2 linked regions of the Ovis aries genome follow. The protein of the gene in region 1 interacts with the protein of each later gene in a pairwise test. Links are inferred from orthologs where the notes say so. Each region holds a gene or a part of one and is shown in the gene's direction. Other genes may lie near its edges.

The links. The genes of interacting proteins can lie anywhere in the genome.
Region 2: the proteins of QRICH1 (region 1) and NFIX interact in binary tests that used the Homo sapiens proteins (3 or more experiments, as listed by UniProt). The two-hybrid records come from large-scale screens. The link is inferred for Ovis aries from reciprocal best matches to the Homo sapiens genes QRICH1 and NFIX.

What each region holds. Positions count from the first base shown.
Region 1 is NC_056072.1:50,995,779-51,002,050, forward strand, and holds part of QRICH1 (transcriptional regulator QRICH1), read left to right. Parts: intron 1-2,243; coding exon 2,244-2,421; intron 2,422-2,980; coding exon 2,981-3,135; intron 3,136-4,281; coding exon 4,282-4,396; intron 4,397-6,272. UniProt on the Homo sapiens protein: Transcriptional regulator that acts as a mediator of the integrated stress response (ISR) through transcriptional control of protein homeostasis under conditions of ER stress.
Region 2 is NC_056058.1:10,804,696-10,810,967, reverse strand, and holds part of NFIX (nuclear factor 1 X-type), read left to right. Parts: intron 1-4,288; coding exon 4,289-4,351; intron 4,352-4,704; coding exon 4,705-4,779; intron 4,780-5,159; coding exon 5,160-5,280; intron 5,281-6,272.

The sequences.
Region 1 (6,272 bases):
GTTACATGTAATACTCTTTTAATTCTCACACCAACCTTAAGAGGTATGTACTACTGTCTCCATTTTACAAATGAAGAAACTGAGGTACAGAGATTAAAGTCACCTTTTAGCAAGTGACAGAGTTGACATTCAGCCTTGGATAGGTGGGCCCCTAAGCCCATGTGTTAACCTGTGTGCAGTCCATGTACTGCAGTGACGCACAGCTCTGTATCACTAGACTGTACCTTTCCCCTTCAGACCCTTACTATACGTTCAGCAGCCCACTTATTATTTACTTGCATTTGTTAAAGATATCTCAGCTCTTCATCAGCATCTCCTCTACCACTATGAAAAACTATTCATCTCAGAAAATGATACCGTCATCTACCTAGTTATGTAAGCCAGAGACCCAGAGTCCTTGAGTCTGCGTTCCCTTCCTCCTCACAATGAGTTCATCAACAAGCCATGTTGGTTCTGCCACCATATCAGAATCTCTTAAATCGTTTGACTGCCACCATCCTGGTCTTGGCCACCAGCACCTACTTCCACTATTCCATTTTCTATAGATCAAGAATAATATTCTTAAAATGTAGGATTATATCACTTCCCAGCTCTTTAAGGGCTCCATTGTAAATAGGAAAAACTCTACACCAGGGGTGTGCTTGCATCAGTAGTTTTTAACCTGGATGAAACTTCTATTTCCCTTACCCACTGATAGACATTTGAATGTGTGTGGAAGAATTTTGGTTGTCAAGGTGGTTGGGAGTGTTACATTTAGTGAGTGGGGGCACACTGAAGAGAATCTGGCTGCTAAGACAGAGAAGCACTGCTCTCGTCTGCTAATCCTGTCGACTCCTAGCTTTCCTACTTGGGTAGGTAGTGTTGCCATTGAACAACAGGGAGGAAAGTCTGAGGAGAATACTTCTGGGTGGGCAAAGCGATGAATTCTCTCCCTAGATAGTAGTTTGAGGTGGTTTTGAGATATTCAGTCAGAGATACACAGTACCCATTGAGTGTATTAAGGCGTGATCTAGCTTAGAGGCACATAGTTAGCAACCGTTTCCACAAACATGGAGATCCTAATGGCAGGTGTTGGAGACTCACCAAGAAGAATGGTGGTTGAACTGAGAAGTGTGTCTGGAGGGGAGCTCCAGGGTTGACAGACGTTTAAGAGTCTGGCACTGGTATTTGGTTGTCTCCTTGTTTAATAGTGTATCTTGTATCAAAGCTAGTTGGATAGTTTTTATTTTTATTGATTGATAAGCAAATGTATGTGTCATATATTCATTGTTTAGCCTCCAAGTTGAATGATTTGGCATTTGTCAGCCCTTTAGGTAGGCCCTGGAATAGAAAATTGTTCTAGGGAATTTGTTTTACAATTTAGACCGGTTTGTGAGACCCAAGAACCTGTGCTTTGTATCTGTGTTGGTGTCTGTCCTGCCTAATGGGGACTGTGATTGAGGGTCATGGACATTCTCTGTCCTTTTGTCTGCACAGTTCAGCTCTCAGACCATGGAGAATGGGACTGCTCTTTGGAGGTGGGAAGCTCAGACATTGCTTCCTGTCTTCAGAAAATGTCCTTATGAGCCAAAGCAGTATTATTAAGAAGAAACATGATGATTCTCAGCCATGACTGGACATTAGAATAACCAAGAGAGCTTTTAAAAGTACTGACTGCAGGCCGCCAGCTTAGACCAAGTAAATCAGGGCCCCTAGGGACAAGGCCCAGACATGGATATTTTTTAAAAGCAGCCCAGATGATTTTAAGGTGCAACCAAGTTTAACAGTCTGGACTCTTGGTACAGAAAGTGTAGTCTGAAGACCAGCTCCCTTCCTTGGGGGTTTCTTAGCAATGCAGAATCTCAGGTCCCATCTGAGATCTTTCTAATCGGAATCCACGTTTTAATAAAATTTATTTGCACATTGTAGTTGATGAGCAGTGCTTTTTGCCAGTAGCTCTGGGCAGTGACTAAACATTAGAATTGCCTTTTTACATGGGAAGATTTTAAAAAGACTGATACCTCTTTAAAAAGAGATTCTGGGGTGGAGCTCAGGTATTGGTGTTTTAAAATAAGAGAGTCAAAAGTACAGTTAAGATTAAGAAGCTTTGTACTAGCGTTTGCTGTCTCTGAAGTAAAGAACAGGACTCCAAAGTTTAGGAGAGCAAGCAGAAGAGCAGCTTTTTAGTTAAAAGAGTTATAGCATTTTTCTGGCTGTTTTGTCAAACGACCTATTGACACGTTTTGATGATTTCTCTCTCATAGGCTCAAACTGTCCAGGTTGCTGAAGTTGAACCCCAGTCACAGCCACAGCCTTCACCAGAACTTCTGCTTCCAAATTCTCTGAAGCCAGAAGAAGGGCTTGAAGTGTGGAAAAACTGGGCACAGACCAAGAATGCTGAGCTTGAGAAGGATGCTCAGAACAGACTGGCACCCATTGGGAGTAAGTGTTCTGGAGGGCAGGGGGGTTGGACTGTGTGTGAAATGCAGTGGCACTGAAGCAGCAGGAGCACGGATGGCAGGAAAGTGTATCTCTTGGCTCTGGGCATGTGGGCGCTCCATCTGAAATAGTGTGCTGGATCCAAGACAAGAGGCAGGCTGGACCTGCTATAAACGAGCAGGATTTGTGGGGTGTGCCCAAGATCAGAGACTTCTGGGAGGAGATAGGAGCTGGTGAGTGTTCTTAGGGCGCCTCTTACTTAGCATTATCCTCATATACTTCCTCGTATTACAGAGGGTGGGTTTTGTGTTTTTGCTTTCATTTCGTGGCCCTAATAATTGGGGGATATGTGAGATGGGACGGGAACCCTTTTAGTAACAGGGCAAACAGGATTATTGTCTTTGTAGGTTAGTTTTGATCACAGATTCAAGTGATTGTTTTCACCCCAGCGCCTTGATGGGTGGTGGTGTCTGCTCTGTAACCTCCTTCCAGGGATATGAGAAACCAGTAAGGAAATGACTGTTGCCAGGACCCTCACTGACCTTTGGGACTTATGTTGTAGGGCGTCAGTTGCTACGATTCCAGGAAGATCTCATCTCCTCTGCTGTGGCTGAGTTGAATTATGGGCTCTGTCTGATGACACGGGAAGCTCGAAATGGAGAAGGTGACCCCTATGACCCAGATGTGCTGTACTACATTTTCCTGTGTATTCAAAAGGTAGGGAACCGAGCTGCGTAGGAACCTGTTTGCCTTGTGTTCCCATTGGGTATTTGCTGCGTAGTCAAATTAGTAATATGTCAAAAGTGGTAACAGTAAAGATACTCTCTTCCAACTATATAATGAGGTTTTAAATGTACATTTTTTAAAAGTTGGAAATGTTTTTAAATGTACATTTTATTTTTAAATTGGAAAAGATCTACATGTTCACTTTAGAAAATCAGATAATAAAATAATCCCTCAATCTAGAGAAATGTTTGTTAAAATATATGATATATTACATTAGAGACTTTTTAAAAAAAATTATGAAACATTTATGTAACACTTTTTGTTAAAGTAAACATCTAGTTTTCAGAAAAGCAATTTTTCCAGAACAGTCTGGTGCTGACATATAGTTCATTTTCTCATTGTTTCCTGCATTAATGCAAAATAATTATTTGAAAGAGTCTAGCTAAAATATACAACTGTAGTTAGGTTTTCAGGATATCTAAGATGAAGATGAACAGGGAGATTCATTTTAGGACCAGCAGTTTCAGAGACCAGATGGGGATTTCCTGGTGTTTGAATGCTATTGTAGAGAAGCCCGTGGTGTGATGGAAGAACACTTGCTGACTGGGACTCACCCTGTTGCTTGGGCCCGAGAAAAACCCATCTCCCATTTTGTTAGTCTGTTTTAGCAGTCACTGGGAGCACTGGGTGAATTAGTGTATGTGCTTTGTCTCATTCCATGCTCTCTCACTCATGCAAGGCAGGCATAGTCATCTCCAGTTACACACAAGGACACTGAGCCCCCAAAGTTACAAGACTCAAATGAGTTACATAACTTACACCGTAGCTGGTAAGAGACTGGCCCTGGAGCCTGCATCATGCTTTTTTGCTACCATAAGACAGTGCCTTGCTTGGGTGAAGTAGCATTCATGAAATCTGCTCCATTGGCCAACTCTCAAGAGTGTTGTGAGAGTTAGTTCCCATCCTGAAGTATGCTGTGGAAGTGCCGCGCACTGGGCGGTTTTGACTCAGTGTGCTGGTTGGTTAATGGGGGACGAACGGGTAGGGAGATGTGAGGGTACTGCTCGTAATTGTTTGCTTCCCTCAGCATCTTGTCAAGAGTCTACCAACAGCTTTTATTGATTATTTTCCTTTTAGTATCTTTTTGAGAACGGACGGGTTGATGACATTTTCTCCGATCTTTATTATGTTCGATTCACGGAGTGGCTGCATGAAGTTCTGAAGGACGTTCAGCCCCGAGTCACTCCACTTGGTAAGAATCTTCCTAGTCCTTGGATGTCTTTTGAACCTGGGTTTAAAAAAGATAAGCTGCTTGTGTGGCTTGCTGTGATAATAGCATGTGGGTGAGGAGGCTGTAAATCGCAGGCCCCAGCGTCGGTCTCTGTGCTGCTTGGCTCAGTATGGAGGGGCATGGCTCACCAGAGCTGTTTATTATAATTTTTTAAAATAATATATTCTTTAAGAGCAGTTTTAGGTTTACAGGAAAACTAAGTGGAATATACAAGGAATTCCATGTATTCCATCACACTGTGTCTCCCCTGTTATTAGTATCTTGTATTAGTGTAGTATATTTGTTAACATCGAGGAGCCAGTATTTGATACCTTGTTGTTAACTTAAGTCTGTAGTTTACATTAGAGTTCTGTTGTATATTTTGTGGCTTTTGACAGTGTATAATATGTACCTACAATTCAGTATCACATACAAGTTTTGCTGCCCTCAGATCCCCAGGGTTCCACTTAATTCGTCCCTCCCTTTATCCCCCTGAATCTCTGGCAACCTCTGATCTGTTTTACTGTCTCCATAGTTTTGCCTTATTCAGAATGTCATATAGTTAGAATACTTTAGTATTAATTTCTTTCACTTAGCAATATACGTTTAATGTTCCTGCATGTCTTTTCATGGCTTGATAGCTCATTTCTTTTTATTGCTGAGTAGTAGTCCATTTTATGAATGTGCCACAGTTTGTTTATCTGTTCACCAATTAAAGGACATTTTGGTTGCTTCCATGTTTTGGCAGTTTATAAATAAAGCAGCTGTAAACACTGTGTGCAGGTCTTTGGTGAAAGAACAGACAGATCCATGGGACAGAGTATAGAGTCCAGAAGTAAAGCCCCATGAGTGTAATGAATTTATCTTTGACTAAGGGGCAAAGGCAGTTAAATGGAGAAAGGATAGTCCTTTTTTCTTTTTCTCTGTTTTTTGGCTTTACTCTGCGGCTCATGGGATCTTAGTTCCCTGACCAGGGATTCAACCCGGGCCATGTAGTGAAAGTGTCGAGTCCTAACCACTGAACCTCCAGGAAATTCCCAGGATGGTCTTTTCAAGTAACACTGCTGGAACAGCTGGACAACCACACATTGAAAAAAAAAAAAAAAGAATCATAGACCCAAATGTAAAACTATAAAACTCCTAGAAGGTAAAATAGAAACTCTAGGTGACGTTAGGTCTGGTGGTAACTTTCTAGGTACAACATAAAAAGAATAATGTATGAAAGGAAAAAAATTGGTAAGTTGGACTTTATTAAAAATTAAAAAGCAAAAACTTATGCTCTCTGAAAGGCATTATTAAGAGAATGAAAGACAAGCCACAAACTGGGAGGAAATCTTGACAAAACACATACCAGACAAAGGGCTGATATCCAAAATTTATAAAGAACTTTTAACAGTCAACAATAACAAAGAAAGAACCTTTACCTGTTTTTTAATCTGAACACATGATTCACCAAAGAAGGTGGCAGATAAGTATATGAAAAGATATATATCATCAGTCAGTTGTAAATTAAAACAGCAGTGATGGGAGTTCCCTGGTGGCCTGATGGTTAGGTTTCGATGCTTTCACTGCTGTGGCCTGGGTTCAGTCTCTGGTCGGGGAACTGAGATTCAGCAAGTGGCTTGCATAAATATTGATACATATGTGCATGCATACATGGATACAGTGATATAACATTATATGCCTGTTAGAACGGCTGAATTCCCAAACATGTTACCTTAGGATGCACCAGTCATGCTTCTTCTTCTTTACCCAGATGACGTAAAAACTTATGTCCACACAAATATCTGAGTTCTAATCCTGGCTCTGCCATTTAATGAAATGTATACTGACTGAGATAAAATTGGCGTAGCAGTTT
Region 2 (6,272 bases), on another chromosome or scaffold:
CCACTTGGTCCCACACCTAGGAAGAGCCCAGATTCGTCACTCACCCCCACGCAGTCCTGCCTTCTGCCCCAGGGTGTGGACTGCACGAGTACCCCGGTCCTGAGAGGAAGCCGTGCAGCAGACCCTGCGCTCACACACGTGACGTGAGCCAGTCTGAACACAGCCCTCGCCGCCCTGGTGGCTTCAAGGACAAGCGGCAGCCTCCAAAATTCTCTTCATCCCCTGAGCCTGGACCAGGCAGAGGCCTGACGCCTGCACACCCAGGCAGCCATCCTCAGACACAGTGGCTGGACTTGGGTTTGAGGAAGCTGCATGTGATGGCTAAGTGGAAAGAGGCTTAGAGCCCAGGAGGCACTGTCTGGCCCTGGGCACCGAGATGCAGGAACATGTCACCTCAGGACTGAACGGAGCTTGCGGTGCCTCTGGCCCCTCCGTCCTCTCTACAGTCTCTCCAGAAAGTCAAGGCAGTCTTTGTCCCTGAAGAGAGTTGTAGGCCTGGGGGCTGGGGTTCAGTCAGGGTGGCCCTGAGCTGGGAGTGGGTGGTTAGGGTCCCTACTGCTTCGGTTTACCAGGCTGGAGAGAAAGCCAAGGTCGGAAATGTTGCCAGGGGACGTGGCCCTGGAAGGCTGGGGAAGCCGAGTGACAGCCTCGGGGGCGTGGGCTGGGCGGGAGAGGATAAAGGATGGAGCCGGGCACCTGCCCGCCTGGTGCCAGCCAACATTTTCTCTGCCCGTCCACCGGCCCACAGGCCACCAGCTGGCCCATTGTCCCCAGTGAGAAAGCAGACACTGGAGGGGGGCTCCCGTGTGGCAGGAGCTCACTCATGCACGCCCGCCTGGTAGGGACTGCCAGGGGACAGCCACCACGCGCTGGGTTGGGGCGAGGGGAGAAGGGGGGTGGCCAGGGGAGGCGCCCTCATGGCGCAGCAGTCAGGGCTTCTCCTGTGCTGTTGGCAGGGGGCAGTGCTCGGGGCCTGTGAACAGGAGATAAAGAGTTCAGGCAGAGGGTTTTCTCTCACTAACCGTGGATTTGTGTGTTTGTTCAGCTGGTGGCTCTGATAAGCCCCATTCTGTGAGATAAAAGCCAAGCAACCATGAGGCGGGGCCTGGGGAGGGGTGTCATAAAGGGGCCTGCCTTCTCTGTCCCAAGGCCTGGGGTTACTCCCTCCCTTCCCCAGGGAGCCTCGACAGGGAAGGGGGTCAGGCACCGGGGTGTCATGCTCCTTGGGGTGCCAGCCTGGGGTCGAGCTCCTGGTCCCTAGGGCCTGTCCAGAGCAGGCCCCAGCCCGAGGCCACAGCTCCCCAGAGTGCCCATGGCTTCAGGGAGCTGGCCTGGCGGGCTCTTGCCTCTGGGTTGGGGGGCATCTCCTCGCCCTCCACAGGAGCCTGTCCACCAGCGGCCCAGTGGCCCCCTCTCGCCGTGTGCCCACCTCCAAGCTGACTGAGTGATCGAGGGCCTGCCCCATCTCTCCCCTTACTGTCCTCTGAGGCCCGCGTCACCTCATTGGGGCAGGGGTCTAGGCGGTAAACTAACTGAGGCTCTGGGTCTGGGTCTGGCCTGAGGAGGGGCGCTCAGCCACACTGCGCAGCTCACGGGCGGCAGCAGGCTCGTGCCTCTCTGCCCTTTTTGCTCTGCACGGGCCAGGAGGGGGCAGGGGCGCCGCCTGGGCAAGACAGTGGAGCCCCAGCCCCAGCTGCCCCGCTGGCCGGGCCGGCGCCCCTGCCCTCGAGCCCGGGCGCAGGCTTCCAGCGTCCCTGCCTTTTGTCCCGGAGCCGGGCCGCGCTCGCCGGGGGCGGGCGGCAGGGGCAGTGCGGGGCGCCGGCGGGGCCGCCAGCCGTAAGATGGCTGCCAAGGGCTAAGATGGCTGCCAGCAGCGCCCGGAGCACCGCCTGCAGGCGCGTGGCAGCGGGCCTCGCGCGCCGGTCCCCGCTCCTGCCTGCTCCCTTACATGGCGCTAATGGTAATAACAGCAGTAACGTTTCAGGGCAGCGTCCTGGTTCAGAAGGATTTCCTGTCTGTCGCGCTCTCCTGGAGCCCCATTTGTCTCTGCCTCTGTCGCTGGCCCACCTCCATCTCTTTGTCAGGTTCTCTCGTCTTTCTGTCCCCGGGCCGGGTGTGCGCATGCGCGTGGTTTTCTGTCTCCACCTGGCCACGTTTGAAGGGCTGAGACCACTCTTAATAGGATGGCCTCCTACCATCCCCCTCTACTCCACTGTCCCTGGCCTGGAGGGCTCTGTGGGGACTGAGTTGGTCCTGGGACAAGTAGGACAAAGCCTTTGCAGCAACGCCTTGACCGTGTGCCCCTCGCTGGGCTCCACACGCCGGTCCTGCAGCTGTGCTCTTTCTGGCTGTGAATCTGGGCAAGGACAGCCCTGAGAGACATTAGGCTTGGGGCACTGGTCCACGGGGGCCCTAAGGTGGGCCACCTACTGCCTCAACCCCTTGCCTGCTCCCTCCTGGACCAGCTAGGGCTTGAATCAGACCCAGAGAGCTGGGAATGAGCTGAGGAGAGAGCAACAAGAAAATCCACATGCAGAGAGAGGCTGCCCTTCCCCAGGGTGTGGGAGGAAGTCCCACGGGCTCTCTCCAAAGCAGAGTGCCACCACGACAAAGAAGTGGCCTGAGATGGAATTTGCCATCCCTAAAAGCGTTGCTAGGGTGGGTGCAAACGGAGGTGTGGAAGGACACGCCCCAAACACAAGGGGGTGAGGGGTCCTGTTCGCTTGTCAACCTCCATTTTCTTGATTTGTGACAGGATTCATTATTATTACCATTTGGAATTTTTAAAAAGTAGAGGCTGGCTAAAAAGGTACTCCGCTGATGGTCCAGTGGTTGAGTCTGCCTTCCAGTGCAGGGGGTGCAGGTTGGATCCCCAGATGGGGAACTAAGATCCCAGGGGAACTATGATGCCAGGAAACTAACTTCATATGCTGCAACAAAGGTTCCGCGTTCCACAACCAAGACCCAACACAGCCAAATAAATACGTTAAAAAAAAAAAAGTGAAACAAGATAAAGGATGGGGGAGATGGGGCCTGAAACCATCCTGGGGGCAGCCTGTCTTTTTCCCACCGGCCACATGGATGCAAGAGGCCGGGAGCTTGGCTGAGCCATCATTGGGCCTTAGCTCTGAGAAGGCCCCAACAACTGGAGCTCTTCCTTCTTTCCCAAGTGGCTGCAGGATCCCCCCACTTCTATTTCTTGGGCCCACATCACTCTTCAGGAACCTCCTTGCTATTCACTCCCCAATGTGAGCGGTCTGACCGCAAGTTTGGTAGAGGATGGCCTCCGTGGCGACTGGGCCGGTTGTGGGGTGGCGGGTGAGACCCAGGAGGCAGGGTCACTCCAAAGAGTGGAGCGGAGCCCTGGCCAATGGCACGGCCCAGTTTTCCGAAGCCACCCCATGTGGTCCCCCCATGAGCAGCTGATCCTTTACTGAATGCCTGCCTTTCTCCTGCCCCACAACCTGCCCTGGCCCCCCTCCGCCACCCTCTCGCCAGCTGTCGTGCCCAGGCAAGCATTCTGGAGGTCCCCGTTGTGCCCCTGGCACACAAAGCTTCGAGGACCTGGGGGGCAGGGGCGGGGGGCTTTCCCAAGCTCAGCAAAATATTCACACACACACTCCACCCTGCCCCCAGTCCTCTGTGAGCTCCCACCGCACAATGGGCCCTTGTCTCAGGGCTCCCTCCGAGCAGCTGTGGCACTGGGGCATGAGACAGCCCAGACAGGCTGGCACAGAGCGGGCGACAGCATCAAGGCAGATCTCCCCCCTCCGAGTTGCCAGGCACTGCCTGTATGCATAAAGGTGAGGTGGGGGTGGCGCAGGCAGGCAGCATTGGCTCTAATTAATGAAGGGAGGGAAAGGGCTGCTCCCTCTGGAGCTTGAGTGGGGTAGAGAACGGGGGACCCCTTGGGTCCAAACCAGCTGTGCAAAGGGACAGTCGGGGGCTTCTCTCCCGGGCGCCTCCTTGCCCTGACTCTTGGCCAGGGCTGTTCACTCATGGGCTGCTCACCCCCAGGGCACTTCAGGCGGTGTTTGGAGACTGGTTTTTGGTTGTCACAACTGGGGTGCTGCTGGCATCTAGTGGGAGAAGGCCAGAGATGCTGCCCAGCACCCTGCAGTCTGCAGGGCCTCACCACAGCAGCAGCCATTCTTTCTCTCCTGGCCTCCCTGGGCTGCTCAGGAAGGGAGTGGGAGAGAAGGTGTCCATAGGGCTAGAGGGGCAGCTGCTTGCCTGGTGAGCGTGGGGCACTTTCTTGACCCATCCCTACCCTTTCTGTCTCCCGCAGAATCCGGACAATCAGATAGTTCAAACCAGCAAGGAGATGCGGACATCAAACCACTGCCCAACGGTCAGTGCCCCCTGCCCTCCTGCCTGAACCCAGCCTCCCTGGCCTGCTGTGTCCACCACAGCGTCCAACCTGTACCCTTCTCTGCCCTCCCGGGCCAGGGTGGGCCTGCCCCTGCCAACCGCTTCACTCAGCTGTCCCTTGACTGAACAGAGGCTGCTGTTCCGTAGGGGAGGGCACTCATGGGGGCATACCCCACATCCATGGAGATCTAAGGGCCTCTGAGGGCCAGCCTGGAGCTGGGACATGGGTCATGGGATGGAACAAGCTGAGGGTGGGGAGGGATCGGGAGAGACAGGCAGACAGCCCCTCCTGGCTGTGCCTCGACTTGCTCACCTGCCCTTTTCCCTCCTCAGGGCACTTAAGTTTCCAGGACTGTTTTGTGACTTCCGGGGTCTGGAATGTGACGGAGCTGGTGAGAGTATCACAGAGTGAGTCCTTCCTTCTTCTGGGCCAGGGTTGGGTCCGCAGGGATGAGGGTGAGGAGGTGGGACTTGGACCCCATGGAGTCCCCCACTGATGGGGTCTCAGGTCGGGGGGGAGGCAGGCAGACTTCCTGGGACATGCTTGGCCTCATTGGCACCGGGCTGGGTGGGATGGAGGCATTGGAGAGCCCCACCTCTGACCTCCACTGCTATGGAGGAAAAAAAAAATCATAACCAAGGAATCTTCCCAACAAGCTTCAGCCAGGAGGAGGTTTCCTCAGCAGCCTTCACAGTGAACTCACCCCAGGGCTTCCGGGGAGCTGCTCCCAGCAACGAAACAGGCACCCATGCTTTCCAGACCTCATCCCACTCTCCCTTCTTCCCAGCTCCTGTTGCAACAGCATCAGGGCCCAACTTCTCGCTGGCAGACCTGGAGAGTCCCAGCTACTACAATATCAACCAGGTGACCCTGGGGCGGCGGTCCATCACCTCCCCTCCCTCCACCAGGTGAGTCCCACGCCCCGGCCTCCCTCAGCCCCGAGACGCCTCAGGTGCTCTGGGCAGCATACTTCAGCACACCATCCTCTGTGGAGGGCGCTGGCTCCAGAGCCAGGGCCTGCTCTGCTGCCCACCCCCTGAGCTTTGCGCTGGCCTCAGGGACACAAGCTCAAGCCAGGCCATGGCTCTGCCAGGAAGGTGCTCCCTGTGGGGACTGGGGAAGGCCTCTCTCCTGGGGGTGTGACCTTTGAACCCAGACAAAGAGGGGCTGGTACAGGCCTGGGGTGGGTGCTCCAGGCAGAGAGAGCAGCCTCCATCCCAACTGAGGCTGGGCAGGCCAGCAGGACTATCCCACAGTGGGCTTCACAGGCCAGAGGGGTCAAGGAACAGATGTTGGGGACATGTGTTCTAGAAAGACTTCTAGAAGCAGTGTTCGTGGGCAGGACAGTCAGTTCGAGGCTCTCCCACCAGGCTGGAGGGTAGGAGGGCCTGAGCCAGGTGGGGGATCGGCCTAAGAGGAAGGAGTGGAGTTGAGAGCCATTTGGGAGGTAGGCACAGTGGACCCCGGTCAGGCTCAGTCATGCAGGACAGAGTGTGATCCTGTCCTTTTAAAAAAAAAAAAAGCATTTTGGTTCATTGTGAGGTTCAAGTATTCGTTTTGATATGTTAGAATATTACATTAAAATGTTGTGATATTTCCATAGTTAATCAAATTTTAATATAAAATAACATAGTATCACAATGACTGAGTTTCCCGTCAGCCCCTGGTGTTTTGCCGCTGGCCAGCGCCTCACTCACCTCTGGCCGTGGCAGCTGATGGGAAGTAGAAGGTGGCTGAGGAGGCAGCTGAGGGCTTGGCCTGCTTCTTGGGCTTGAGTAGCTGGGTAGATGACAGTGGATGGTCTTGTGGGCTGAGAAGGGGCTCTCAGTCTGACCTGGGCAGAGGGCACACAGCGAGTGCCCTGAGATGCTGCTGACAGCGAGAGCCCGCTCGCCACACG